Linked DNA regions of Anolis sagrei. The protein of the gene in region 2 purifies or fractionates together with the protein of the main gene of each other region. This does not show direct contact. Links are inferred from orthologs where the notes say so. Each region holds a gene or a part of one and is shown on either strand. Other genes may lie near its edges. The genes, in order: torsin-1A-like, CANX, BSG and PPT1.

Region 1 (7,578 bases), on a different chromosome or scaffold from region 2:
AGTTTGCACTAAAACCCCGACCAGCTCTAAAGAATGATGCCCAGATCATTGACTCTGTGCTTTACCTTGTACTGGGTGAGGTTCTGCAGGTGAGGGAAATGCAAGGTGGAGATGAACTGGTGGACATATTTGCTGTTGAGGCCCTCTTTGTAGAGGCTCTCGGCCAGGATTTTGCTGGCAAAGTTCTTCCCGGTCCCGGTCCAGCCGTGCAGGGAAAGCGTCAAGGGCTTCTTGGGGTTGGAGTTGTTCAGAAACCCTGTCACGGCCTTCACTATCACCTTCCTGGCCAAATGCTGCCCAAAGAGCTTCTTGTCCAAATTCTCCTGTAGCACTGCAGACGGGGAGAGAAAAAGACACACCGATCAGCTTTTTTTTTTTTTTTAAATCTTTATTGAGTGTTTTTAGATACATAAAAATTGGTGGAACAATTGGGTAGGGATAGGAAAGTGAGATCAGCTTGACAGGAACAGAAATCCTCAACAAATGAATACACATAGTTATATGTTACGTTAATATTGACTGTTATCATTACTGTCATAATCACAATGATATACACCATGACAATGACAATTTATTTATTTATTTGCGACATTTATATGCTGCCCTTCTCACCCACGAAGGGGACTCAAGAGCGGCTTACAAGTAATACGTAAATACAATATATTATATCATTACCATTGCACAATATTAGTATTATATATTACTATATTGTACTATACCATTAGACTGTAATATTATTAGTAATATTACATGTAATATAAACTATATAATAATAATAATAATAATAATGGTAAAGGTTTCCCCTGACATTAAGTCCAGTCGCTATTATTATTATTGTCATTATTGTGCATACATATTTTATTTTTATATTGTACCACATTATAATATTATAAATATATGTATTTACAATAATGATAATTCAACAATATAAAAATATATACTAAGGAAAAATAACAGCACTATTATATTATTATATTGTATCCTTTTATAATATTATCAATATCATATGTATTCACAATAATGATAATATAACAATATAATAACATATACTAAGGAAAAATAATAGCATTATTATTATTATTATTATTATTATTATTATATTGTACCCCATTATAATATTACCAATCTTTGAAATATAATATTATAATATTATCTATCTTTGAAAGGCAGCAGATCACAGGAGCTGTCTTCATAGACTTGTCAGCAGCCTATGAGACTGTGAACCACCGCCTCCTCCTGAGAAAAATGTATAATATCACAAAGGACGACCACCTCACCCGCCTCATAGGAAACCTGCTACCAAACAGGAGCTTTTTTGTCGAGTTCCAGGGCCAGAGAAGCAGATGGCGGAAACAGAAGAACGGCCTGCCTCAGGGGAGCGTGCTTGCTCCATCCATGTTCAACATCTACACAAATGACCAGCCACTGCCAGAAGGGACAGAGAGCTTCATCTATGCTGATGATCGTGCCATCACCACTCAAGCAGGGAGCTTTGAGATGGTAGAACAGAAATTCTCCAAAGCTCTAGGTGCTCTTACTGCCTATTACAGGGAAAACCACCTGATCCCTAATCCATCTAAAACACAGACATGTGCCTTTCACCTTAAGAACAGACAAGCATCCCGAGCTCTGAGGATTACCTGGGAAGGAATCCCACTGGAGCATTGCAGCACACCCAAGTACCTGGGAGTCCCTCTGGACCGTGCTCTTACCTACAAGAAGCACTGCCTGAACATCAAAAAAAAGTGGGCGCTAGAAACATCATACGAAAGCTGAGTGGCACAACCTGGGGATCACAACCAGACACAGTGAAGACATCTGCCCTTGTGCTGTGCTACTCTGCTGCTGAGTATGCATGCTCAGTGTGGAACACATCTCACCATGCTAAAACAGTGGATGTGGCTCTTAATGAGACATGCCGCATTATCACAGGGTGTCTGTGCCCTACACCACTGGAGACATTACACTGCTTAGCCGGTATTGCACCACCTGACATCCGCCGGGAAGTAGCAGCCAATAGTGAAAGGACCAAGGCAGAGACATCTGCAGCCCATCCCCTGTTTGGGTGTCAGCCTGCATGTCAACGATTTAAATCAAGACATAGTTTTCTAAGACCTACAGAGACACTCGCTGGAACACTCCAGCAAGCGAGAGTCCAAAAGTGGCAGGCTCAAACCCAGAGCCTCAATCCAAGGGTGATACCAGATGAGAGACTCCCCCCTGGTCGAACAGAGGACGGGGCGACTTGGAAGGAACTGAACAGACTGCGCTCTGGCACCACGAGATGCAGAGCCAATCTCAAGAAATGGGGCTACAAAGTGGAATCCTCGGCATGTGAGTGTGGAGAAGAGCAAACCACTGACCACCAGCTGCAATGCACCCTGAGCCCTGCCACATGCACAAGGGAGGACCTTCTTGCAGCAACACCAGAGGCACTCCAAGTGGCCAGATACTGGTCAAAGGACATTTAACCAACTACCAAATTTGCAAAATCTGTGTGTTTTTTTTTCCTTTTTCTTTTTAGTCTGTGTGTTTGTTTTGCTCTGTTAGAATTGTAATACAATGGTTGCTGATGAGACGATAAATAAATAAATATTACCAATATTATAAGTATTCACAATAATGATAATATAACAATATAATAATATATACTAAGGAAGAAATAATAGCACTATTCTAATAGTGACAATATAAGCATGACATTATTATGTTAATACAGTTCCCACTTTCTGAGGTGACAGCCCCTCAGGCAGCCAGGTAGGCCTCTGCCTGACTGACCTGGCTGGACTTGGGCGCCGTCCCCTTGGTGGCAGCAGTGGGCGAAGAGGCAGTAGAGGCGCGGGTAGGAGAGGAAGCCCGTGAAGGCGGAGGCGGCGGCGCCGGCCAGGGCCAGGCTCAGGCTCAAGGGCTCCACTGCCCCGGCCAGGCCCGCCGACAAGACCCACGTCGCCAGCCACACCCGCCACCGCATCGCCTCACGACGGGCACTTCCGCTCTACTGGCGGCGGAGGGCCCTCAGGGAAGGCGCTTCCGGTCCCGCTGCCGCCATCTTGGGGCCGGGCGGGAGTTCAACGCCGCAGCGACGGGATTGGCCCGCGGGGAGGAGGGGGGCGTGGCTTAAACGAGACTCACGGCCTATCCCATTCCAGCAGCACGAAGGGGCGGGGCCTATTCCCAAACACACTGCCTTTCCCATTCTAGCACCTCTAATGGGCGGAGCGAGGGGCGTGGCCTATTCCTCAATACAAACCCATTCTAGTCTCCCACATGGGCTGAGCGAGGGGCGTGGCCTATTACTTGATAGTCTTTCCCATTCTAGCCACACCAATGGGCGGAGCAAGGGGCGGGACCTATTGATTGATAGACACTGCCTTTCCTATTCTAGCCACACCAGTGGGCGGAGCTTGGGGCGTGGCCTATTGCTTGATAGACACTGCCTTTCCCATTCTAGCCACACCAGTGGGCGGAGCGAGGGGCGTGGCCTATTGCTTAATAGACACTGCCTTTCCCATTCTAGCCACACCAGTGGGTGGGGCGAGGGGGCGGGGCCTAATGCTTAATACACCATTCCCATTCTAGTAACCCTAATGGGCGGAGCGAAGGGCGTGGCCTATTGTTCGATAGACACTGCCTTTTCCATTCTAGCCATACCAGTGGGCGGAGCGAGGGGCGTGGCCTAACGCTTAATACACTGCTGTTCCCGTTCTAGCTACCCCCTAATGGGCGGAGCGAGGGGCGTGGCCTATTCCTCAACACACCCAGCCTATCCCATTCTAGCTACCCCCTAATGGGCGGAGCGAGGGGCGTGGCTTATTTAATAATAATGCACTTTATTATACTTTGGATACACACTGCCCTGCCTATTCAATCTACCTTTCCCAATTCTATATGCTATGATAATAAAATAATATAGTATAATATAATATATAGTATATATATATACTGTGTATACAACATAATACTAATAATTATATGTATATATTACATGTATGATTAATATGTATATATATACTGTATTTAATATAATACTAATAATATATTATAATTATGTATATATATACATATGTATTACATGTATTATTAATAATGTTTTTATATATACTGTGTATACAATATAATACAAATAATATGATATTATAATTATATATATATTACATGTATTATTAATATTTATATATATACTGTGTATACAATATAATACTAATAATATATTATAATTATATATTACATGTATTATTATTTATTTATTTATTTATTTATTTATTAATGCGCTTGTATACCGCTAATATCTCAGCCTAAATCGGCGACTCATTGCGGTTTACAACACTTAAAAAACAACAATATTCAGTTTAAAAGCATAAAACACATATCCAATACAAATTATTATTAATAATATTTATATATATACTGTGTATACAATATAATACTAATAATATCACATTATAATTATATGTATATATTACATCTATTATTAATAATATGTATATATACTGTGTATACAACATACTAATAATATGATATAATATTTGTATATATTACATGTATTATTAATAATATGTATATATATAGTGTATACAATATGCTACTAATATGGTATTCTAATTATATATATATTACATGTATTATTAATAATATTTATAAGATTATAATGTAATGCAATATACTACTAATAATAATTCATTATATTTCTATATTTTATATTACATGTTATATTATTAATAATATTACAATATAATGGTATAATACAGTATACAAATATATAATGCTGATATTGTGCTCTGCTAATAATATAATATATTGTATGCATATATATCTTGTAAGCCACTCCGAGTCCCCTTTAGGATGAGAAGGGCGGCATAGAAATGTCGTAAATAAATCATATAATACTGCCCCTCCATTGAAACCTATGGGGCATCTCTGCCTCTGGAAAATCCTGCAAATCTCTTGGGAAGACAAGTGGACAAACATCAGCGTGCTGGAAGAAGCAAAGACCACCAGCATCGAAGCAATGGTCCTCCGTCATCAACTCTGCTGGACCGGCCACATTGTCTGGATATCTGACCACCGTCTCCTAAAACAGTTGCTCTACTCCGAACGCAAGAATGGAAAACAGAATGTTGGAGGACAGGAAAAGAGATTGAAAGATGGGCTCAAAGCCAACCTTAAAAACTCTGGCATAGACACTGAGAACTGGGAAGCCCTGGCCCTTGAGTGCTCCAGCTGGAGGTCAGCTGGGACCAGCAGTGCTGCAGAATTGGAAGAGGCACAAATGAAGGGCGAAAGAGAGATACATGCCAAGAGGAAGGCACGTCAAGCCAACCCCAACCAGGACGGCCTTCCACCTGGAAACCGATGCCCTCACTGCAGGAGAACATGTGGGTCAAGAATAGGGCTCCACAGTCCCCTATGGCCCCACTGCCAGAATGCTACACTTGGAGGACCATCATCCTCAGACTACGAGGGATCGCCTAAGTAAAGTAAGAAGTAAGTATGGGGCATCTCTCTGTCCAGGATGTGCAATCCTTTGCCGCCCTCCGGGGGACACATTGAGCATTGCGCCCCCTTGGTATTGTGCACCTCTATTGACGCCTATGGGGTATCTCTCTGCCCAGGACTACTATGTGTAATACTATGTGGACACACCGAGCATTGCGCCCTCTTGCTAATTTTAAACCAGATTTATTCCTTTCCCTATTTGGTTTTAAAGATATTTTCCCACTTAATAACTGAGCCTAGGGGGGTGCTGCATTTCTATTTCTATTTTAATGGGGTTTTTTTTTAAAAAAAATTAATAGTCCTAAATTTAATTGCAAGAGTTTAATGTATTTTAACAGCTTTTTCATCGTAGTCCTGTATTTAATTCTGTTTTTGAGGTTTATTATGTCTTAGGTTTTAATTTACACATGGTAAATTAAATTATTATTAGTAGTAGTAAAAAGCAAAATATTATTATTAACGACAATCTGCTTTTAATCATAGAATAATAATAATAATAAGCTTTGCTTTTAATAATTCCATCTCTTCTAAGAGAGGAAAAAGGATGATGACGACATTAATAACTTTTAACTCTCTTAGAATAATAATTAAAATAATAGTTTTTTAAAAGTAGGATATTATTTATTTATTTATGACATTTATATGCCGCCCTTCTCACCCCGAAGGGGACTCAGAGCAGCTTACAAGTAATATGTAAATAAAAAACATTATATTATTATAATAGCATAATATTAGTATTACAGATTACTACGTTGTACTATACCATTATATTGTAATAATAATAATAATAATAATATCCCTGCTTTTTATTTATTTATGAAATTTATATGCCGCCAGTCTCATCCTGAAGGGGACTCAGAGTAGCTTACAAGGTATATATACATACAATATACTATTATATTATCGACATAGTACAACATCAGTATTAAATATTACTCTATTGTACTATACCATTATATTGTATTATTAGTAATATTACATGTAATATAAATTTATAATTAAATTATTATTAGTATTATATTGCATTACATTATAATATTATAAATATTATCTGTATAGACAATATATTATATTACACTGTATTATATTAGAATAGCACAGGAGACAAGGTGGAAGTGTCCCCTGGACCCCTCTCTCTTTTACTCTTGGAATAATAATAATAATAATAATACTTTATTTCATCAGTTCTAAGGCACTCACTAATTTCAGTATCATCAAAACAGAAAAAAGCTGTATTTCTGTTTCCAAAAGTACCTGTGAATCTCATTTTTTGGAGATGTTTATATTGGAATAAATAAGGGCTTCTTAGTATCAGTGGTGCAGCAGATTAAACTAATGAGCTGATGAAATAGTTGTCCTAAAGGTCTGTAGTTCAAATCCAGAGAGTAGGGTGAGCTCCCACTGTTAGCCCCAGCTTCTGCCAACCTAGCAGTTTGAAAACATGTAAATGGGAGTAGATGGAATAGGTACTGCTCCGGCAGGAAGGTAACGGCGCTCCATGCAGTCCTGCCAGTGGAGGTGTCTATGGACAACGCCGGCTCTTCGTCTTAGAGATGAGCACCAACCCCCAGAGGTAAAGGGGGAAACCTTTACCTTTTTAGAATTGATGAAATAACAACAATAATAAATGTATTCCTGGCTTCTCCCTGTGACTTGATCCTGTACGAGGGGTTAATTCACTCCTTTGTTCCCCATTTAATAACATAGTAATAATAATAATAAAACAACGCACACAAAAATCCGGTTTTAAAAAGCCTTCTGCATTTTCAACACAGACACAGCTGAAGAAGACATTCCAAATACTGCCTGCTTTTAATCGATCCCCAAACGGAACTGGCTTGAACGCCGACGACGTGGCCACGCTCCAAGAGTTTAAAAGCGTGGCCCTGAATTGGGATGTATAGTACAACCAGGGCCTCCTCCGTTGAACTATGAATCCCAAAAAGATCTACTTTTTTTCGGGCCCTTTTCTGCTCAAAGGAAAATGAAAGCCACACTGCAAACGGAAACAAAAAGTTCGTAATGGAGGGAGAGGGATAAAATAATTATCGTAATAATAATAATAATAATGACACACCCAAC
Region 2 (6,885 bases):
CAGAAGTATCATAACTAGGGTGTTACAATTGATAAAGCATTATATGTTAAGCTGGTGGGCAATATGACTGTGTGGCACTCTCGGCACAGCTTTCTCAGCTGATCTGAAAGATGGTGTTAGTAGGGACTTGGCACAGCAGCTGTTTGGATAATTTAAATTATTCCCACCATATATTTTTCTTTTTGTTAGTGCCTGTTTTTACCTTTTGGCCTGAAATCTCACAAAAAGATATACCTGGGAGTGCAATAAAACTTAGTCTAATTATGCTACACTCTGTGAACTCCTTCCCTGTCCACATCTAGTGCTTAAGAAGAGTGAAGAGAGAAGGGGCCGGAAGACAGTTCCACCTTGTCTCCTATGCTATGTCATCAGTTGGGAGCCCCGCTCCCTCCCTCCGCATCCACTACTGCTCTGGGTCAGGGTGAAGAGAGAGGGGGCCAGAAGACAGTTCCACCTTGTCTCCTGTACTATGCTAATAATATAATATAATATAATGTAATATAATATATTGTATATACATATAATAGTTTTAACAATATAATATAATGCAATATAATACTAATAACAGTAATATGTTATTATAATTATATATTTTATATTACATGCAATACTAATAATATTACAATATAATGGTATAGTACAATATAGTAAATATAATACTGATATTTTACTACACTAATAATATAATATATTGTATGTATATATATCTATATCTTGTAAGCCACTCTGAGTCCCCTTCGGTATGAGAAGGGCAGCATATAAATGTCATAAATACATAAATAAATAAGATTAAGAAGCTTCATCTCTCACTAATCTGCATTCATGGTGTAAGTTCTTTGCACCCAAGAAAAATTAATACTCCAGCTGAATGTTGGGCAGCATTCTGTATGGTTTTAAAAGTAACTGAATTAGACTTCTGTTCACACATGAATTTGCTGTACTATTTTAACCAGTATTAAAACATGGGGGGGGGGGGGGGGTCCACAAACACCCGGAAATGGAGTACTAAACCAGAACATCAGGTTAGACAATAGGTGTGGTGTTTACTGAATCAACTCCTCACGTAATTATCACTATATAGTCACTCTTAATTGCAAAATAAATATTTTTAAAAAATGTTGGAGCTTTGCACAGTATTGTATTGAGTAACAGACCCATGACTTTGTGAATAGTGCCATCTGGTGAAAAAGTGAAGAATTTAAATAGGAAATTAAATATTGTGGTTGGAATTAAGAACCAAACTACAAAGTAGAAACAGAACCTTGGCTTAATCTAGTGGTAGCAATTGGCTGTCCCTCCATGATGTTGGAAATTCAATTCCCAAAAGCCTTGCTAATCTTGAGAAGTTTTGGGAGTTGCAGTTGGACAAAAAACCTACAACAACCCAGTGATTCCGGTCACGAAATTCTGGCTTTTAAAGCCCTTTGACAATAGGGCTTTAAAGATCACAACCAACACTTTTTGTTTTGCCTGGAAACTAATTGGCAGCTAATGCGTTGACTCTGTGATAGGTGTAATATGCTAACTCCCGAATGTTCCTGTAGCCAATCTGTCTGCTGTGCTTTTGAACTTGGTACAAAGGTAGCCCAGTGTAAAGGGCACTGTAGAAGTTCATCCTTGAGGTTACCAGCGCATGCACTACCATCTTTAGGTCATCCAAATCTAGGCAGGGGCACAGATGGTGTATCAGCGAAAGCTGGTAGTAGGCTATACACTTATTGCCATAGTTTTACAAAGCTTATATCAAGATTAGCACATACATATTTCAGTTAACAAAGCTCTTTTTTTTTTATTTTTTACAAAACATGTATTCCCCTGAGCAACCTTTTTCTTCTTGTCGTCTTTCTACCTGGATGTTTTAAAACAGCATTGGGATTGGAATGATGGTGAGAAAGATGTAATTTTACTTAATGCGAACATATTGCCAGATCTGATATTTTGAATGCAGTTTGGTGAAAATGAATTCTTTTGTGAAGGGCAATTGCCTTTTCTAGAGGCTTCAATTAGAGAGGTCTTTTCTGCTGGACAGAATAAGGGTAGTCGGAGGAAAAACGGCCTTGGGACACACTTTGCTTCAAGAAAATAAATGTTATTAGACAAAGGTATTCATGGACTATAAAGCCAAGCAAATAACACCCGGCCCTTGTAAAGAAAAAAAGTTTTAAAGACTGAATCAGGAATGCTGAGAAATGTTTTATATATTTTAATCTGCTTTAACTATTTATTGTAAATATTTTCCACGTTTAATCCAATTTTAGTGTTTATATTTATATATGCTGCTTTGTAAACCTGGTGGTGTGGTGGGTTAAACTGCTGGGCTGCTGAACTTGCTGACCGAATCTGGGGAGCGGGGTGAGCTCCTGCTGTTAGTCTCAGCTTCTGCCAACCTGGCAGTTTGAAAATATGCAAATGTGAGTAGATCAATAGGTAGGTAGGTAATGGTGCTCCATGCAGTTGTGCTGGCTGCATGACCTTGAAGGTGTCTATGGACAACACCAGCTCTTTGGCTTAGATAAACCCCACCCCTGAGTTGGCCACAACTAGACTTAATGTCAGGAGAAACCTCTAGCTTTATATACTACCATGTTTTGGGGTATGATACAGTGGTGTGTTCTGATATATGTGTTTTATGCTGTGAGCCTTGAGGCAGTTAACAAATATTTTTATTCTTATTGCGATGATCATATATTTTAGGTGTTTAGGTGTTCAATTGTGTACTATTTAGTATTGTTCTCTGCTTAGGAGTTAATTTCAAGAGATAATAATAATAATAATAATAATAATAATAAACCTTTATACCCCGCTAACATCTCCCGAAGGACTCGGTGCAGCTTACAAGAGGCCGAGGCCCAATACATAAGTAAAACAGCATAACAAATACAACAATAAACAAAGCAATAAACATTAAAACAATAGCAATAAACATTAGATAATAACACCATGACACATTTAAAAACTAAGGCCGGGCCAAATGTAATGATTAAAAATTTTAAAAATGCTGGACATGACCAGGTGAAATGGATAGATTTTTGGAGATAGGTGCGGTATGCAGACAATCTTAAATCTCTAATAAAGTGCATTTGGGATATGATGCTTGGAGTTTCCTATTCTGGGAATGCACACTGGAACAACCACATCTTTTAAGCTATTCCTAAAGACTGCCAACGTTGGGGCTTGTCTGATGTCCTTGGGGAGAGAGTTCCAGAGTCGGGGGGCCACCACAGAGAAGGCCCTGTCCCTCGTCCCCACCAATCTCGCTTATATATGTCTGCACTTGATGCCAATGCATTCTCTTCATTACTATATTCTGCTCTGAATGTCTCAGGGCCCTTCCAGAAAGGCCCTATATTCGAGGATCTGATTCCCAGGTGTTCTGCTTTAAACGGGATTATAAGAATTGCTACTGCCAGATAATCTGAACCTGGGATCAGGCCCTGGGACATAGGGCCTGTCTGGAAGGGCCCTCTGCAGCAGACACCCACAAGGCCCCTGCCAGCCCACTCCTTCTTACTACGGTCCACAGGAGGTACGCTCTCCTGTCACTTTAAGAACGGAGAGGCTCCCTCGTCCTTCAAGCTCCGCCTACTCCGGCTCGCCCGCCAACCCACGGGCGCTTCCGTCGGAGCCGCTCAGCCAATGGCAGCGCTCCACGAAGGGCAGCGCCGTAGGGACGGGGCTTAAGGCGAGAGCGGCGGAGAGTGATGGCGTGGTCTAACCAATCAGAGCGGAGGGGCGGGAAGACTCCCTTTGCCTGAATCAATGAGAGTAGGAAGTCTCGGGGCGTGGGAGGCGGAGCTAGCGGCTGAGAGAGAGAGCGAGAGAGAGAGGAGAGAGTGTGAGGCAGGCAGGCAGGCAACGGACCAACGCGCGCGGGCGGAGGCACGTGACGGCAGGAGGTGCGAGGGGGTTTCTCGGAGGAGCCTCGGCGGGCGAGCTGTGCGCGTGGAGCGAGGTGAGTGAGAGAGTATCTCCCGCGAGGAGGCCCTCCCTTCGTTTCTGCCTGGGATAGAATGTTGCGGCGGGGGATGAGGGGGGGGGGTGGAGGGAGAGAAGGAGAGCGGCCCTCTTCCTCTCGCGCAGGGAACTCTGGGGCACGCACTGGAGGCGGCAAGAGCGGGAGGCGAAGTGTCCCACGGAGGGTGTGTCCGTTGGGGGCTGTGGGTACTGAGTGGGCTGGAATGAGGGAGAGAGAAAGAAGGGGGAGGGGGAGAAGCGCCGGGTCCCTCCGCAGGCCAAACTTCTAGGGCCTTCTAGAGCGGGCCTCTTGGGGGAAGGTGTCGTTGCGGGCCTGTGCGTGGCTTATCTCTTCGCCTCTCGGGTGGGACCTTGAGGGACCTCCCCTCGCCTTTTTACGGGGGGAGGGGATGGGGTGGGCGAGTGTTTCATTTTGTGGAGGGGCTGCTCATAGCGGGGAGGGGGCCTCCTGTGTATCTGCACTGGGGAGGAGAGCCAGGAAGACACTTCCACCGTGTCTCCTGGGCCATCAGTTGGGAGCTCCTCTCTCCAGCACCAATTGCTGCTCTGGGTTCAGAGTGAAGAAAGGGAACCAGGAAGACAGTTCCACCATGTCTCTTGGGTCATCAGTTTGGCAGCCCCTCTCCAGCACCAATTACTGCTCTGGGTCCAGATTGAACAAGGGGAGCAGGGAAGACAGTTCCAACGTGTCTCTTGGGTCATCAGTTGGGAACCCTGGGTCCAGAGTGAAGAAGGGGAGCAGGGAAGACAGTTCCAACATCTCTCCTGGGTCATCGGAGCCCATCCCCCCAGCACCAATTGCTGCTCTGGGTCCAGAGTGAAGAAGGGGAGCCAGGAAGACAGTTCCAACATGTCTCCTGGGTCATCAGAGCCCTTCCCCCCAGCAACTATAGTAATATATAATACTAATATTGTGCTGTGCTCATAAATTTTTTTTGTCGTGTCAGGAGCGACCTGAGAAACTGCAAGTCGCTTCTGGTGTGAGAGAATTGGCCGTCTGCAAGGACGTTGCCCAGGGGATGCCCAGATGATTTGATGTTTTATCATCCTGGTGGGAGGCTTCTCTCATGTCCCCGCATGAGGAGCTGGAGCTGATAGAGGGAGCTCATCCGCCTCTCCCCGGATTCGAACCTGCAACCTGTCAGTCTTCAGTCCTGCCGGCACAGGGGTTTAACCCACTATTAATGATATAATAATTATGTTACATGTAATATTAATAATAATAAAGTATAGTGATATAGTACAATATAGTAATATATCATACTAATATTGTAATATGCTAATAATATAATATATTGTAGACTCTCACCCAGCCTATTCAACTTGTATGCAGAACACATCATGCTATGTGCGGGGCTTGATGAATGCAAGGCTGGGGTAAAAATTGCTGGAAGAAACATTAACAACCTTAGATATGCAGATGATACCACTTTGATGGTTGAAAGCGAGGAGGAGCCGAGGAGCCTTCTAATCAAGGTGAAAGAAGAAAGCACAAAACCTGGATTGCAGTTAAACATCTAAAAAACCAAGATTATGGCAACCGGATTGATTGATAACTGGCAAACAGAGGGAGAAAACGTGGAGGCCGTGACAGACTTTGTATTTCTAGGTGCAAAATTTTCTGCAGACACAGACTGCAGCCAGCAAACCAGAAGACGCTTACTTCTTGGGAGGAGAGCAATGTCCAATCTTGATAAAATACTGAAGAGTAGAGACATCACACTGGCAACAAAGATCCGCATAGTCAAAGCAGTGATATTCCCCATTGTCACCTACGGATGTGAGAGTTGGATCATAGGGAAGGCTGAGCGAAGGAAGATAGATGCTTTTGAACTGTGGTGTTGAGGGAAAGTTCTGAGAGTGCCTTGGACTGCGAGAAGATCCAACCAGTCCATACTTCAGGAAATAAAACCCGACTGCTCATTGGAGGGAAGGATAGTAGAGGCAAAGATGAAGTACTTTGGCCACATCATGAGAAGAAAGGAAAGCTTAGAGAAGACAATAATGCTGGGGAAAAATGGAAGGAAAAAGGAAGAGGGGCTGACCAAGGGCAAGATGAATGGATGGTATCCTTGAAGGGACTGGCTTGACTCTGAAGGAGTTGGGGGAAGTGACGGCCAACAGGGAGCTCTGGCGTGGGATGGTCCATGAGGTCACGAAGAGTCGGAAGCAACTGAACGAATGAACAACAACAATGTACATATAACTTGTAAGCCACTCTGAGTCCTCTTTGGGGTGAGACGGGTGGGATATAAATATCGCAAATAAATAAGTACACTGCAGGATTGGTGCAGATGCCATAGCTTGACGCTGGCGCCCCTTGGACTCTGTCAGCTCAAGGCTATGGAATCGCGGGACTTGTGGTTTTACGAGACCTCCTCTGCCCAAGAATGCTGGTGCCTCACCACATTACAACTCCCAGGATCCCACAGCATTGAAACTGCAAACTCTGACATTCTGTGTATTGTGGGATGTGTGCATGTGTTACTCAAGCTGTGTCTCCCCTGTGGAATGAATGCAGTTTGACACCCCATTCACTGCCATGGGAATCCTGGGTGACATAGTTTGGGGAAGCAGCCAGCCTTTTTTTTGGCAGAGAAGGTTCAAGACCTTGTAAAGCTTAGTAGGAGAAGATAAAAGTTTTCCCTTGACATGAAGTCTATTTGTGTCTGGTGCTGGGGTATGGTGCTCATCTCAATTTCTAAGAAAAAGAGACAGCGTTGTCCGTAGACTCCTGCCAGGTCATGACTGCATGGGGCGCCATTACCTTCCCGTAGAAGCGATACCAATTGACCTCACATTTACATGCTTTTGAATTGCTAGGTTGGGAGAAGCTTGGGCTAACAGTGGGAGCTCACCCCGCTCCCTAGATTCGAGCCATCAACTTTTTGGTAGGCAAGGTCAGTGCTT
Region 3 (7,659 bases), on a different chromosome or scaffold from region 2:
TACAAGACCCTACTTACTTTGCCCAAAAAGCACAGCACAGGACAGCGGTGCTCTCATTCCCGCTACCTGTTCCCAGTTCCAAGACTGGAATCTCCCCAGGAAGAGGGATTCCACCTCAACATTAGAAAGAACTTCCTGATGGGAAGAACTGTTCGGCAGTGGAATATGCCTTCTTGGTGTCGGTGGAGTCTACTTCTCTGAAGGCTTTTCAGCAGAAGCTGAATGGTCATCTGTCAGGACTGTTTTGATTCGGTCTTCCTGCATGTAAGGATGGAGTTGGGCTGGATGGCCCTTGGGGTTTCTTCCAAAGTCTATGATTGTGTGGTTTTTTTAAGAAAAAATTCTTCAGCAGAATCTGTGGGTGCAAAGTCCATGGCTATGGAGGGCTGGCTGTATTAAGCATTATGCTATACAGGCAGTCCCCAAGTTATGAACAGGATAGGTTCTGTAGGTTTCTTCTTAAATTGAATTTGTATGCAAGTCTGAAAAGGGACATTTTTAACTATATATATATATATATATCCATATATATCCTTTAGCTCTGGATAGCATAGGGAAGGGTTAACACCCTGTGGGGTTATCTTTCTGTCTGTGCCCTTGTTCAGTAATTTCAGCTCACTTCCCGTCCCTGTGATGATTGGATTTTTGGTAATTTGGCTTGACGTGGAAACAAGGATTGGTGCTAAAGATTCAGTGGAGACCCCTTTTCCCCTTGATAATTCTTTCAGAAGTGGATTTCCCTTCCAAGGGGTAGATTTCTCTCACTTCTTGTTGTCTCACTCTTGTTCTTAACTGTAAGTCGAATGTTTGTAATACAGGGAATGCCTGTATATGTATGTGAATATGGAGGCCCCATCTTCCCTGGTAAAATCTGGGGAAAATCCTTTTATTTAAATGTTGCTAAATGGACGCCCTTCTGTGAATCCTTTCTTCGTAATACGAATCCAGCGAGTTTAATATATATATAAAAATCCGTCTTCCGTTTCACTTCCCAATGACATAAAGACCCTGAGGAAATGTCCCCTCCAAACAGTGAATTTCCTGAATTTCCCCTTAGAAATGAAAACTTCAGAGACTGAAGATCCCCCTCAAATTTCAAATTAGCTCTCAGGATTTTGCCTGTGGATAAGAAATTTCCCCTCAGGATATGTAATCTATTATCAGATAATTATATTTTGCCTTCAGGATAAGAAATTTCCACCTCAGAAAATAGAATTTTCCTCTCAGAATTTTAGATTTACCCTCAGAATATGAAATTTCCCACTCAGGATATGAAATCTCTTCTCAAATAATTATATTTTTCCCCTCAGGATATGAAATTTCCCCCCAGATAATTATAGTTCACTTTCAAAATATGACATTTCCCCTCAAAATAAGACATTTCCTCCTGGAATTTTAAATTTACCTACAGAATTTAAAATTAGCCCTCAGTATATAACATTTCCCCTTCAGGATACAAAATTTCTTCTCAGATAATTATATTTCGCTTACAGAATATGAAATCCCCTCCACCCCTCAGAATACAAAAATTCCTCACAGAATTTTAAAATTTCCCCTCATGGTATAAAATCGATTATCAGATAATTATATTTCACCTTCAGAATATGGAATTTTCCTCTCAGGATATTTAATTTTTTCTCAGAGTATTACCTTCCCCACTCAGAATATGAAATTGCCCCTCGGGATATGAAATTTCCATCTCAGGATATATATTTTTTTCTCAGAATAAGAACTTTCCTCTCAGAATATGAAATTTCCCCCTAAAGATATTATTTTTTTCTCAAAATATTTAATTTCCTCTCAGAATATTACATTCCTGCCACAAAATATTAAATTTCCCCCTAAGGATATTAAATTTCCCTCTCAGAATATTGCCTTCCCCCCTCAAAATATGAAATTTCCTTCTCAGAATAGAATTTTCCCCACAGGATATGAAATCCCTTCTCAGGTGGGGTTATCCTTCTGTCTGTGCCCTTGTTCAGTAGATTTCACCCCACTTCCCGTCCCTGTGATGATTGGATTTTTGATAATTTGGCTTGACGTGGAAACAAGGATTGGTGCTAAAGATTCAGTGGAGACCCCTTTTCCCCCTGATAATTCTTTCAGAAGTGGCTTTCCCTTCCAAGGAGTAGATTCTCTCACTTCTTGTCTCACCCTTGTTCTTAACTGTAAGTCGGATGTTTGTAATACAGGGAACGCCTGTATATGTATGTGAATATGGAGGAAATCTGGGGAAAATCCTTTTATTTAAATGTTGCTATCGGAGCAAAGATCCTTTTATTTGAGGATTTTGAAACCCAATTTAAAGAGGCCTTGCCTTCAGAATATGAAATCTCCACCCCCGGATATGAAATTTCCCTCTCAGAATATAAAATTTCCCTTCAGAATATGAAATTTCCCCCTCAGGATATGACATTTCTTCTCAGGTTACTACATTTTCACTTCAGAATATGAAATTCCCCCTCAGAAAATTATATTCCAACTTCTTAATATGAAATGTTCCTCTCAGAATATAATTTTCCCCCCTCAAGATATGAAATTTCTTCTCAGATAATTATATTTCAACTTCAGAAGATGAAATCCCCTCACAGAATACAAATATTCCTCTCAGAATTTTAAATTCTCCCCTCATAGTACGAAATTTCCCCTCAGACAATTATATTTCACCTTCAGAATATGAAATTTCCCCGCAGGATATGAAATTTTCTCTCCGAAAATTACTCCCCCCCCCCCCTCAGAATATGAAATTTCCCCCTCAGAATATTTAATTTCCCCTCAGAATATGAAATGTCCCCTCGAAGCCTTATATTTCCCTTCAGGAATGGAAGCCCTTCCGCCTCGGCGCCTCCTTCCTTCCCTGCCTGGACCTCTTACCCGCGGCCGAGGCGCCGCTCGCACAGCAGAGCCAGGCGCCCAAGGCCAGCACCAGCCTTCTCGCCACCATCGCCCTCATGGCTCCCGCTGCTTCTGCCGCTCCGTCGCTCTGCTCCTCTCCTCAGGAATGGCGGACGCCTGGTAACCCCCCGGAGGCGGAGAAACCGAGGAAGAGCCAATGGCCGACGGGCGCGAGCCCCGAGAGGCGCCGCTATTGGCTCCACCGCCCGAGAAAGCGGGCCAATCCGATTGCACGCGAGGAAGGACGGTTGAGGACGGCAAGAAGGGGGAGAGGGTGACGTCAAAAACCCCAGCCAATCAGATACTTTAGCCTGCCCGGTGGGAGGCGGGGCTTCAAAGGGCCTTTGATCGACAAGCTAGCCACCTATAGGAAAGATTAAAGGAGGCAGGACGGGCCGGAAACCGAAGTCACTCCCGCAAGGCATCTCAGGCTACTACACCAGGTCACGTACACACACACAAGAGGCGGTCGCTGCCATCTACGTCAAGCACGGGCACTGGCCAATCGTGGCGCCGATTCTCACGACTGGCGTTACCCAAAACCAATGAAACGTGCGAGCTAACTACGAGCCCCACCTACTCATGTAAATAGCACTAGAGGACTCAGATTCTTAAAGAGACCGCAGCCACTTTAGAAGAGGAAAGCAGACTATCATATCATCTCATCTGCAAAAGTTTAAACTCATACATATTGTCAGCTTTAGCTTGCAGCTAAATTATATATTTTATATAGCATTATAATAATTATATATATACAATACATATTATTATTATAATATATATGTCTGTATATACATTTAATATAATATATTTTATATTATATAGCATTATAATAATTATATATATATAATACATATTATTAATATAATATATATGTCTGTAAAATATATAATTTAGCTGCAGGCTAAAGCCAACCCTTAATATTTGTACTCTGTATTAATATTTGTTATAAATTATACAAATTATATGTTTATATACTTTTAAATATCTATTTTTCACAATACAAAGCCTGGCCAAGTCTATTTGCTTGCCATTTCCTTGTGACCGTTAGAAGAATGGGATGGCCCTCCATCAGGGTTGGACCAGATACCCTCTGAGGCCCCCACTGGTTTTTAGGAACTCTTTTACACCTTTGACCTTAATCTGGCCCTGAGCAAATTTATCTCTACTCTGGAAAATTATGAAGAGAGGGAATTGTTACAAGTTGGAACGGGATTATACCTTTGTATCGATACGTCTGTATGAACAGTTTACGCCAACCATAAGGCCACACAGGCTGGGGATGATAGGAGCTGTACTTACTTAGGCGATCCTTCGTTGTCTGGGTATGATGGCCTTCCAGGTGGCCTTTGGGTAAGCTGGCAGATGGATAAAAGACAATGACGACCAGAGTAAGAAAGGACAATGACATTGCTAGATGGATTATGGATTTATGAATTGATGAACGTTGACCACAAGATGATTTTATTGCTCTTGTTGTTTTAATTTGACTGTTTTAATTAGTTATAACTGTCATCGTTATATTGTAAATTGTATATTGTATTTTGTGAATTGTTGAGCATCGAATTGTGCCTTTTGTAAGCCGCCCTGAGTCCCCCCCTAGGGGGTTGAGAAGGGCGGGGTAGAAGCACTCCAAATAAATAAATAAAAAGGTAAGTGTAGTTTCTGGGCATTGGATACATTGGTGATTGTCGAGCCCTATTTTTGACCCGCATGTTCTTCCATAATGAGGGCATCGGTTTCCAGGTGGAAGGCAGTCCTGGTCAAGGTTGGCTTGATATGCCTTCTTCCTCTTGGCACATTTCTTCCTTTCACCCTCCATTTGTGTCTTTTCAAATACCACAGCACTGCTGGTCACAGTTGACCTCCAGTCAGAGCGCTCAAGGGCCAGGGCTTCAGTTTTCAGTGTCAATGCCAGTTTTTAAGGTTAGCTTTAATCCCACCTTTCAATCTCTTTTCCTGTCCAACATCATTCTGTTTTCCATTCTTAAGCTGGGAGTATAGTAACCGCTTTGGGAGACGGTGATCGGACATTCGGATGTGACCAGCAGTGGAGTTGATGGCGTAAGAGCATCGCTTCAATGCTGGTGGTCTTTGCTTCTTCCAGCATGCTGACATTTGTCTGCGTGTCTTCCCAAGAGATTTGCAGGATTTTTCGGAGGCAATGCTGAAGGAATTGTTCCAGTTGAGTGTGACATCTGTAGACAGTCCACGTTTCACAGGCATATAGAGTTGGGAGGACAACAAGTTTTATAAGCAAGCACCTTGGTCTCCCTACGGGTGTCCCAATCCTCAAGCACTCTCTGCTTCCTTCGGAAAAATGCTGCAATCGCAGAGCTCAGGCAGTGTTGTATTTCAGTGTCACTGTTGACTTTTGTGGAGAGGTGGCTGCCAAGGTAGCGGAAATGGTCAACATTTTCTAACATTAAACCATTCAGCTGTATTTCTGGCATTGCAGAGGGATTGGCTGGTGACTACTGGAAAAGCACTTTGGTTTTCTTGATGTTCAATGAGAAGCCAAGCTTCTCGTATGCTTCTGCAAAGGTGTTTAGAATGGCTTGTAGGTCTTCTTCTGAATGTGTACAGACTATGCTATCTATCATCAGCATCCTGGAGTTCTATAACAGATGTTACTGTGAACTTGGTTTTGGCTTTCAGTCTGCTGAGGTTAAATAGCTGTAGTACACCATCGGAGATGAAGATCAAGAACATATCAAACACAAAAAGTACGTTCCATGGACCAGGCTGCTCTCCGCAGCCCAATCTATGTTTTGGGACTTCAAAGCCGTTCAGAAAAGTAACTTTCCCACCACTTTTTGAAGTCAGACTTCACAAGCAAGCTGTTTGCGAGGCTGCCACCCCAAAAGGCACTTTCCTTTCAAAGTCCTTTTTATTAAATAGCTTCAAAACCAAGAGGGAGAAACCAATTAAACCCCAAACTCCCCCGAAACACGGAACAAAACCACAAAAGCAAAATAAACCCCCCAAAACGATTGTTACAAAGAAAAGGCACCCCCCCCCATGTTCGCAAAAAAAATATCTCCATTTCTTGTCATTCTGAAGGGGACGCAAACATTCCCAAAGTGAAAAGACAATGCAGTGGAAAGACGGCCAAGCAGTGCCTCCCAGTGGCTGAGTGAGGAACCGGACTCTGTAATTCCCACATTTCTAAAAAAAGGGAAAACACCAATTAATGGAAGGAGGGGTGCTCTGGTTCTCTTAGTGCCTTTCCATCCGCAAGCTCAGATGCCCCTCATTCAGAATTAAAGTCTTATAGTGTAATAAATGTTTTTTAAAAAATAAATGGAAGCAAAAACGTTCAAAACACCCAGTGCTGCGTCTTGGTGCTTCGTCTCAATGCGACCGAGAATGAAACACCTGGGGAATCAACAATCCCTCTCAAAAATCCCTATGATTAACTCCTCCTCCTCTGCACAAAACACAAAACAAACGCTAAACCAAAAGCCAAATGGTCAATCTATCCCCCTAAAAAAGAAAGAATTCCTCCCTCCCCATCCCAGCCACTTCAAGCAGAAACCAAGTCTCCCTTTTTGAGGTAGAGTTCTCTCTCTCTCTCTCTCTCTCTCTCTCTCTCATTCTCTCTCATTTCAATTCGGGGCAAACAGGGGTTCCAAAGCCTCAGCCGGATCCATCCTGGGTTCAAGTAAAAGAGTCAGATAGTTTATTGCTACTATCAGGAGCAGCAGCAGCAGGAGGAGGAGGCAGCGTTGGAAGGGGGCAAAAGGGAATGGGGGGAAGGAGGAAAGGGGCAAGGAAGGGGGTCCTCCTTGTCAAGACTCCTCATTGCCGGAATCATCCTCGTCGCCATAGCAGCTGTCCACCTCGTCGTCCATCTCGTCGTCCTCATAGTAGTCGTCATAGAAGAGGTCCGAGCCCTCGTCTGGCGCCGGGGTCTTGGTCTTGACGCAGTATTCTGCCAGCGTGGTGGGGACCTTGACGCCATCCCGCTCGGCCTCTGCCTTTGTGCCCAGCACTTGCTTCCTGCCAGGAAAGAATAATAGAACACTAGAGTTGGAAGAGAGCACATGGGTCATCTAGTCCAACCCCCTTCCTCTATGCAGGAAAAGCAGAATCAAAGTACTCCTGACAGATGGTACTTTAAAAAGCTTTCAAGGAAGGAGCTTCCACCAGATGCTGAGGCAGAGAGTTCCACTGCTCAATAGCTCTTACAGTCAGGAAGTTCCGCCTCATGTTCAGGTGGAATCACTTTCCTGTCATTTGAACACATGGCTACATTGAGTCCATTGAAAACAAGCCCGCTCCCTCTTCCTTATGCCATCCTTTCACATATTTATGCATGGCGATCATGTCTCCTCTCAACCTTCTCTTCTGCAGGTTAAACATACCCAGTTCCTCATAGGGGTTCATGGTCTCCAGACCTTCATCATTCTAGTTGTCCTCCTCTGAACATCTTTATCTATTTTTAACTATAGTGTCCAGAATTGGAACAGTATTCCGGGAAAATAGGTCTGACCAAAGCCGAATAGAGAGGCACCATGACTTCCCTCAAACTAGACACTATACCCCTTTGCCTTTCTTAGCTGCTGCATCACACTCTTGGCTCATGTTCAACTTCCTGTCAACAAGGACTCTAAGATCTTTCTCACAGGGACTGTTGTTGAGTCAGGAGTCCCCCATTCTGTGCCTTTGCATTTCATTTTTCTGCTTAAGTGTCGTATCTTATGTTTGTCCTTGTTAAAATTCATATTGTTAATTTTGGCCAATCAGGTCTCTAATTTGTTG
Region 4 (6,899 bases), on a different chromosome or scaffold from region 2:
ACCATTATATTGTAATATTATTAGTAATATTACATGTAATGTAAATATATAATTATAATTATAATATTCTAATATTATTACTATTACTATTATTATTACATAGCTTTAATTACGCGGATCTTCGTTGCCAGTGTGATGTCTCTACTCTTCACTATGTTATCGAGATTGGACATTGCTCTTCTCATAAGGAGTAAGCATCTCCTGATTTCCTGACTGCAGTCTGCGTCTGCAGTAATCTTTACACCTAAAAATACAAAGTCTGTCACTGCCTCCACGTTTTCTCCCTCTGTTTCCCAGTTGTCAATCATTCTTGTTGCCATAATCTTGGTTTTTTTGATGTTTAACTGCAACCCAGCTTTTGCGCTTATACTGTTTGCAAATTTTATCCACTAGATGTATCATTACCTATATAACTTGTATGCTACAGTGTAATATACGGTTCTGGCCCAGCTTACTTGTCCGAATGCATCTGCTTCTATGTCCCAACTCATAACTTAAGATCATCCGGGGAGGCCCTGCTCTCGCTCCCGCCAACATCGCAAACGCGGCTGGCGGGGACGAGAGACAGGGCCTTCTCGGCTGTAGCCCCCAGCCTGTGGAACGCGCTTCCAAATGAAATACGATCGACCCCATCCCTCCTGGCATTCAGGAAGAAATTAAAATCTTGGTTTTGGGACCAGGCTTTCGGACAATAAACATAAAGCAGCACTTTGACTGGAAATGGATTGGCAAGACGATATGTATGAGGATACGGTTTTATGGTTCTATCAGTGGGTTTGCGGACTGAGTATTGTTTTAATGACTTATGATAATTTGGTTATAATTAACTGCTATTGTTTTAACTCTGCATGTATTTATGGTTTTAGACTGTGTTATTGATTGTGGCATCAAATTGCTGCCTTTGTTAGCCGCTCTGTAAATAAATAAAAATAAATAATTAGGGTCTCTGGACCATTTTATTAATAATCTATATAAATAAAAATGTAAAGTTCGTTTGTGGGATTAACAGAACTCAAAAACCACTGGAGCAATGGACACCAATTTTGAACACAATACACCTAACAACCCAATGTATGTCCTTCACTCAAAAAATTAATTTTGTCATTTGGGAGTTATAGTTGCTGGGATTTATAGTTCACCTACAATCAAAGAACTCCACCAATGATGGAACTGAACCAAACATGTCACACAGGACACCCATGATCAACAGAAAACACTACAACGGTTTGGTGGGCACTGACCTTGAGTTTGGGAGTTGTAGTCCATCTACATCCAGAGAGCACTGTGGACTCAAACAATAATGGATCTGGACCAAACTTGGCATGAATATTCTATATGCCCAAATATTAACACAGATGCAGTTTGGGGGAAATAGACCTTCACATTTGGGATTTGTAGTTACTGGGATTTATAGTTCACCAACAACCAAAGAGCATTCTGAACCCTCCAAATGACAGAATTGGGGCAAACCTCCCACACAGAACCCCATGACCAATAGAAAATACTTAAGGCCATCCAGTCCAACTCCCTTCACCAGGGCAAGAAAACGTAATCAAATCCTGTTTACCCACAAGCATAAAAAAATTACATATATTAGAAAATACTCTATTTTCCAGATCACCAGACGGCCACAGCAACGCATGGCAGGGGACGGCTACCAGGCCTGTAGCGAGGGGGTGGTTTTAGGGGTTCAACCCCCCCCCCCGAAATGTTTCAGATTTTTTTAAAAAACCCACTTTACTCATGAATATTAACTGGTTAACCAAATCCCCATGCTAAGGCTATGAGATGCAAAAAAATTAAGAGTCCCTCCAGAACTACAAGCACTACCTCAAGCAAATATTTATTTATTTATTTATTTATGTATTATTCGAACTTATATGCCGCCACTCCCCTGGGGCTTGGAACGGCTTACAAGAACAGGCTAAAATCGAACACAATTTTAAAAAATTTAAAAACAGCAATATCAGAGATCAAAGGCCCGTCGAAACAGGTATGTCTTACATGACCTGAGGAAAGCTGATAAGTCCCGCAAGGCACGGACTTCAGGTGGCAGAGTATTCCAGAGTGATGGTGCCACTGCTGTGAAGGCTCTGCGTCTGGTTGCTGTTAGACGCAAGGTCTTGACACTGGGAATTTCCAATAGATCTTGGTCCTCAGAATGGAGGGATCTCTGGGGTTGGTAGGGGGTGAGGCGGTCCCTCAGGTACATTGGCCACAGACCATGCAAGGCCTTAAATATTGACAATTTATTCACACTGTCATTACTTGCAGCAATAGCCGATGTAGTGAAGCAACCAAGTTGGGTGTGTTTGTGTGTTGAATGCTCTCATTAAGGAGGCCAGACTTGGTGGAGGTGGTTGACACGTGAGGAGCTGCAGGCTATTGAAGGCTGCTCTGCTCCCTGCTGTGCTCTTTGCTTCAGCGTGAGCTAGAAGGCAGGTTTCAACCTGCCCCTGCAAAATTTTCACCCCCCCCCTGAAAATTTCAACCCCTCCCGAATTTTTTTTCTGGCTACGGCCCTGACGGCTACTAATATATATATATATGTTTCAGAAGCATTCTCTTCCGACATTTCGCCAGCATCTATGGCAGGCATCCTCAGAAGTTGTAAAGTCTCAGGCCTCACAACTTCTGAGGATGCCTGTCATAGGTGCAGGCGAAAAGTCAGGAGAGAATGCTTCTGGAACATGGCCATACAGCCCGGAAAACTCACAACAACCTTGCGATTCCGGCCATGAAAGCCTTTTCAGAGCTGTCTCACAGGTTTCAGAGTAAAGCGGTTTCCTTTACTTTAATTTCTGGAACAAATCTTCCCTCAGAGGACAAAACGTGAATTGGGGGCGCTGGTACTCACCCATGCCGTGCCAAATCACCAGAGGCACCGGTATCGCCCGGCTCTCCAACTCTATCCGGCAAAAGGCTCCTGAGAACAGCAGACAAGACACAAACAACCTGATCGACGCCATCTTGGCTGTATCACATGATCTCCGCCTCGAGACAGGGAGGAAACGGCGTCACGTGACCAAACGCCTTCCAAGAGGCTGTGTTTTGAAGGAGGCTGCAAAATTGCAATACTTATGGCAATCATAGCTCAAGAAGCAGGGGCAATGGGAACGGAGGAAGAAATGCAATGTCTCTCCAGGAACATGGGCTTCCCATCCCTGTTTTGCAACGAGGCATTGCTAGATGTCCAACTGGAGGAGGCTCCTGTGCCTTGCATAGAATATTAGCGTAGGAAGAGACCTCGTGGGCCATCCAATCCAACCTCCTGCCAAGAAGCAGGAATTTTGCATTCGAAGCACCCCTGACAGATGGCCGTTTAGCCTCTGTTTAAAAACCTCCAAAGAAGGAGCCTCCACCACACTCTGGGGCAGAGAGTTCCACTGCTTAACGGCTCTCACAAGTTCTTCCTCATGTTCAGGTGGAATCTACTTTCTTGTAGTTTGAAGCCATTGTTCCGTGTCCTAGTCTCCAGAGAAGCAGAAAACAAGCTTGCTCCCTCCTCCCTGTGGCTTCCTCTCACATATTTATACATGGCTATCATATCTCCTCTCAGCCTTCTCTTCTTCAGGCTAAACATGCCCAGCTCCTTAAGCCGCTCCTCATAGGGCTTGTTCTCCAGACCCTTGATCATTTTAGTCGCCCTCCTCTGGACACATTCCAGCTTGTCAATATCTCTCTTGAATTGTGGTGCCCAGAATTGGACACAATATTCCAGATGTGGTCTAACCAAAGCAGAATAGAGGGATAGCATTACTTCCCTGGATCTAGACACTATGCTCCTATTGATGCAGGCCAAAATCCCATAGGGTTTTTTTGCCGCCACATCACATTGTTGGCTCATGTTTAACTTGTTGTCCACGAGGACTCCAAGATCTTTTTCACACGTACTGCTCTCGAGCCAGGCATCCCCCATTCTGTATCTTTGCATTTCGTTTTTCCTGCCAAAGTGGAGTATCTTGCATTTGTCGCTGTTGAACTTCATTTTGTTAGTTTTGGCCCATCTCTAATCTGTTTTGAATCCTGCTCCTGTCCTCTGGAGTATTGGCTATCCCTCCCAATTTGGTGCCGTCTGCAAACTTGATGATCCTGCCTTCTAGCCCTTCATCTAAGTCATTAATAAAGATGTTGAACAGGACCGAACCCTGCGGCACTCCGCTCGTCGCTTCTTTCCAGGATGAAGAGGAAGCATTGGTGAGCACCCTCTGGGTTCGTCCATTTAACCAATTACAGATCCACCTCACTGTAGTTTTGCCTAGCCCACATTGGACTAGTTTCCTTGCCAGAAGGTCATGGGGGACCTTGTCAAAGGCCTTACTGAAATCCAGGTACGCTACATCCACGGCATTCCCCACATCTACCCAGCTTGTAACTCTATTGAAAAAAGAGATCAGATTAGTCGGGCATGACTTGTTTTTGATAAATCCATGTTGACTATTAGCGATGACTGCATTTGTTTCTAAGTGTTTGCAGACCACTTCCTTAACAATCTTTTCCAGAATCTTGCCTGGTATCGACGTGAGGCTGACCGAACGGTAGTTGTTTGGGTCTTCCTTTTTTCCCTTCTTGAAGACTGGGACCACATTGGCCCTCCTCCAATCTGCTGGAACTTCTCCCGTTCTCCAAGAACTCTCAAAGGTGATTGCCAATGGTTCCGAAATGACTTCCGCTAGTTCCTTCAATACTCTTGGGTGTAGTTGATCTGGCCCTGGGGACTTGAACTCATTTAGAGCGGCCAGGTATTCCTGGACGACTTGTTTCCCAATTTGGGGTTGGATGTCCTCAAATCCCTCATCCACTCCGTCTTGCTGAGGTTGAAGATGACTTTCTTTTTGTGAGAAGACCAAGGCAAAGAAGGCGTTAAGTAGTTCTGCCTTTTCCCTATCCCCTGTCAGCATTGCCCCATCTTCTCCTCGAAGAGGCCCTATCGCGTCCTTGTTTTTCCTTTTTCTACTGACATAAGAAAAGAATCCCTTTTTATTGTTTTTAATGTCCCTGACAAGCCTGAGCTCGTTTTGTGCTTCAGCTTTGCGGACCTTTTCCCTACAGGTGTTGGCTATTTGTTTGAATTCTTCTTTGGTGATTTCTCCCTTTTTCCACTTCTTGTGCATGTCTCTTTTGTGTCTTAGCACAGTTAGAAGTTCTTTGGACATCCATTCTGGCTTCTTTGCACTTGTCCTATTTTTTCTCTTTGTTGGCACAGTTTGCAATTGCGCCTTGAGTATTTCACTCTTGAGAAACTCCCATCCATCCGTAACTCCCTTGTCTTTTAGTATCTGTCTCCATGGAATGCTGCTCAGTGTTTCCTAGTAGAGCAACTGCTTTGAGAGATGGCGGTCAGGCATCCGGACAACGTGGCTGGTCCAGCGGAGTTGATTGCGGAGGACCATCGCTTCAATGCTGGTGGTCTTTGCTTCTTCCAGCATGCTGACATTTGTCCTCTTGTCTTCCCAAGAGATTTGCAGAATTTTCCGGAGGCAGCGCTGGTGGAATTGTTCCAGGAGTTGCATGTGACGTCTGTAGACAGTCCACGTTTCGCAGGAATATAGCAGGGTTGGGAGGACAATAGCTTTATAAACAAGCACCTTGGTATCCCTGCAGATGTCCTCAAACACTCTCTGCTTCGTTCGGAAAAATGCTGCACTCGCAGAGCTCAGGCAGTGTTGTTGACTTTGGTGGATAGGTGGCTGCCAAGGTAGCGGAAATGGTCAACATTTTCTAATGTTACACCATTAAGCTGTATCTCTGGCATTGGAGAGGAGTTGGCTGGTGACTGCTGGAACAGCACTTTGGTTTTCTCGATGTTCAATGACAGGCCGAGCTTCTCATATGCTTCTGCAAAGGTATTTAGAGTGGCTTGTAGATCTTCTTCTGAATGTGCACAGACGACATTGTCTGTAGTTCTATAACAGATGTTGTTGTAACCTTGGTTTTGGCTTTCAGTCTGCTGAGGTTAAACAGCTTGCCATCTGTCCGAGTGTGTTTGCCAAGTGTCTTTGTAATGTCCATGTGATTGAGACAAAGGACGGGTGGCTCTGCAAATGGATCCTGTCATCCTCTGCACAATTGGGGTTATGGGGGCCAATAAAGATGAATTGGTCCCAGAGATGATGGGTGATTGAATCTTTCATATGTAGATGATGCCCAGGAAGACAACTGGAGCAAATTTCTGGGTCATGAGGTGCTGGTGAAAGGTCACCAAAGGTCTTGATCAGTAGCATGCTTCTCCAAAAGGGTTTTATATCAGGATATAAAATGTGACACATTAAACACACTGTTGCACTCCAAGGCTGGGAATCACCTCTGTACTTAACACAAAATCCAATTCAAGATAAAATAACAAAGAAGTTTATTGATTCTATATAAAAATGTAATGTTCGTTTGTGGGATTAACATAACTCAAAAACCACTGGACAAATTGACACCAGATTTGGACACAATACACCGATCAGGCCAACAAGTAACTATCACTCATAAAGACATTGAAAAATACTGCAGAAGAGACTTAAAAAACCAAAAAACAAAAAAATACATTACAACCCATGCGCAAAACCACATATGTACACAAACACACATATATACATATATACACAAATATATACATATACACACATATATACACACAGAAAACACATACACAGAAAGGGCGAAGGAAGGAAGAAAGGAAGGAAGGAAGGAAGGAAGGAAGGAGAAGGAGAGAGATAAAGAGGGAAGAAGGAGGGAAGGAGAGAAGGAAAGAAAGAAAGGTAGAGAAGGAAGGAAGGAAGGAAGGAGAGAAGGAAATAAAAAAGTGAAAGAGGGAAGGAAGGAGAGAGGAAACAAAAGAGAGAAAGAGAAGGAAGGAAGGAAAGAGATAAAGAAAGATGGAGCCAATGAGCAAAGGAAGCGAAAAAAGA

Evidence for each region.
Region 1: the proteins of CANX (region 2) and torsin-1A-like purify together in Homo sapiens (affinity purification with mass spectrometry; 4 studies listed by BioGRID and IntAct, counting the BioPlex papers as one, with this or other methods). This does not show direct contact. The link is inferred for Anolis sagrei from reciprocal best matches to the Homo sapiens genes CANX and TOR1A.
Region 3: the proteins of CANX (region 2) and BSG purify together in Homo sapiens (affinity purification with mass spectrometry; 3 studies listed by BioGRID and IntAct, with this or other methods). This does not show direct contact. The link is inferred for Anolis sagrei from reciprocal best matches to the Homo sapiens genes CANX and BSG.
Region 4: the proteins of CANX (region 2) and PPT1 purify together in Homo sapiens (affinity purification with mass spectrometry; 3 studies listed by BioGRID and IntAct, with this or other methods). This does not show direct contact. The link is inferred for Anolis sagrei from reciprocal best matches to the Homo sapiens genes CANX and PPT1.

The regions. Positions count from the first base shown.
Region 1 is NC_090031.1:3,865,776-3,873,353, forward strand, and holds the start of torsin-1A-like, read right to left. Parts: upstream 3,015-7,578; 5' UTR 2,972-3,014; coding exon 2,779-2,971; intron 332-2,778; coding exon 66-331; intron 1-65. UniProt on the Homo sapiens protein: Protein with chaperone functions important for the control of protein folding, processing, stability and localization as well as for the reduction of misfolded protein aggregates.
Region 2 is NC_090022.1:86,866,365-86,873,249, reverse strand, and holds the start of CANX (calnexin), read left to right. Parts: upstream 1-3,867; 5' UTR 3,868-3,952; intron 3,953-4,115; exon of another isoform or gene 4,116-4,139; intron 4,140-6,885. UniProt on the Homo sapiens protein: Calcium-binding protein that interacts with newly synthesized monoglucosylated glycoproteins in the endoplasmic reticulum. It may act in assisting protein assembly and/or in the retention within the ER of unassembled protein subunits.
Region 3 is NC_090034.1:52,360,146-52,367,804, reverse strand, and holds the start of BSG (basigin), read right to left. Parts: upstream 3,020-7,659; 5' UTR 2,954-3,019; coding exon 2,875-2,953; intron 1-2,874. Other genes in the region: CDC34 (ubiquitin-conjugating enzyme E2 R1), read right to left, coding at 6,687-6,897.
Region 4 is NC_090034.1:66,497,903-66,504,801, reverse strand, and holds the start of PPT1 (palmitoyl-protein thioesterase 1), read right to left. Parts: upstream 3,003-6,899; 5' UTR 2,970-3,002; coding exon 2,858-2,969; intron 1-2,857. UniProt on the Homo sapiens protein: Has thioesterase activity against fatty acid thioesters with 14 -18 carbons, including palmitoyl-CoA, S-palmitoyl-N-acetylcysteamine, and palmitoylated proteins. In contrast to PPT2, PPT1 can hydrolyze palmitoylated proteins and palmitoylcysteine.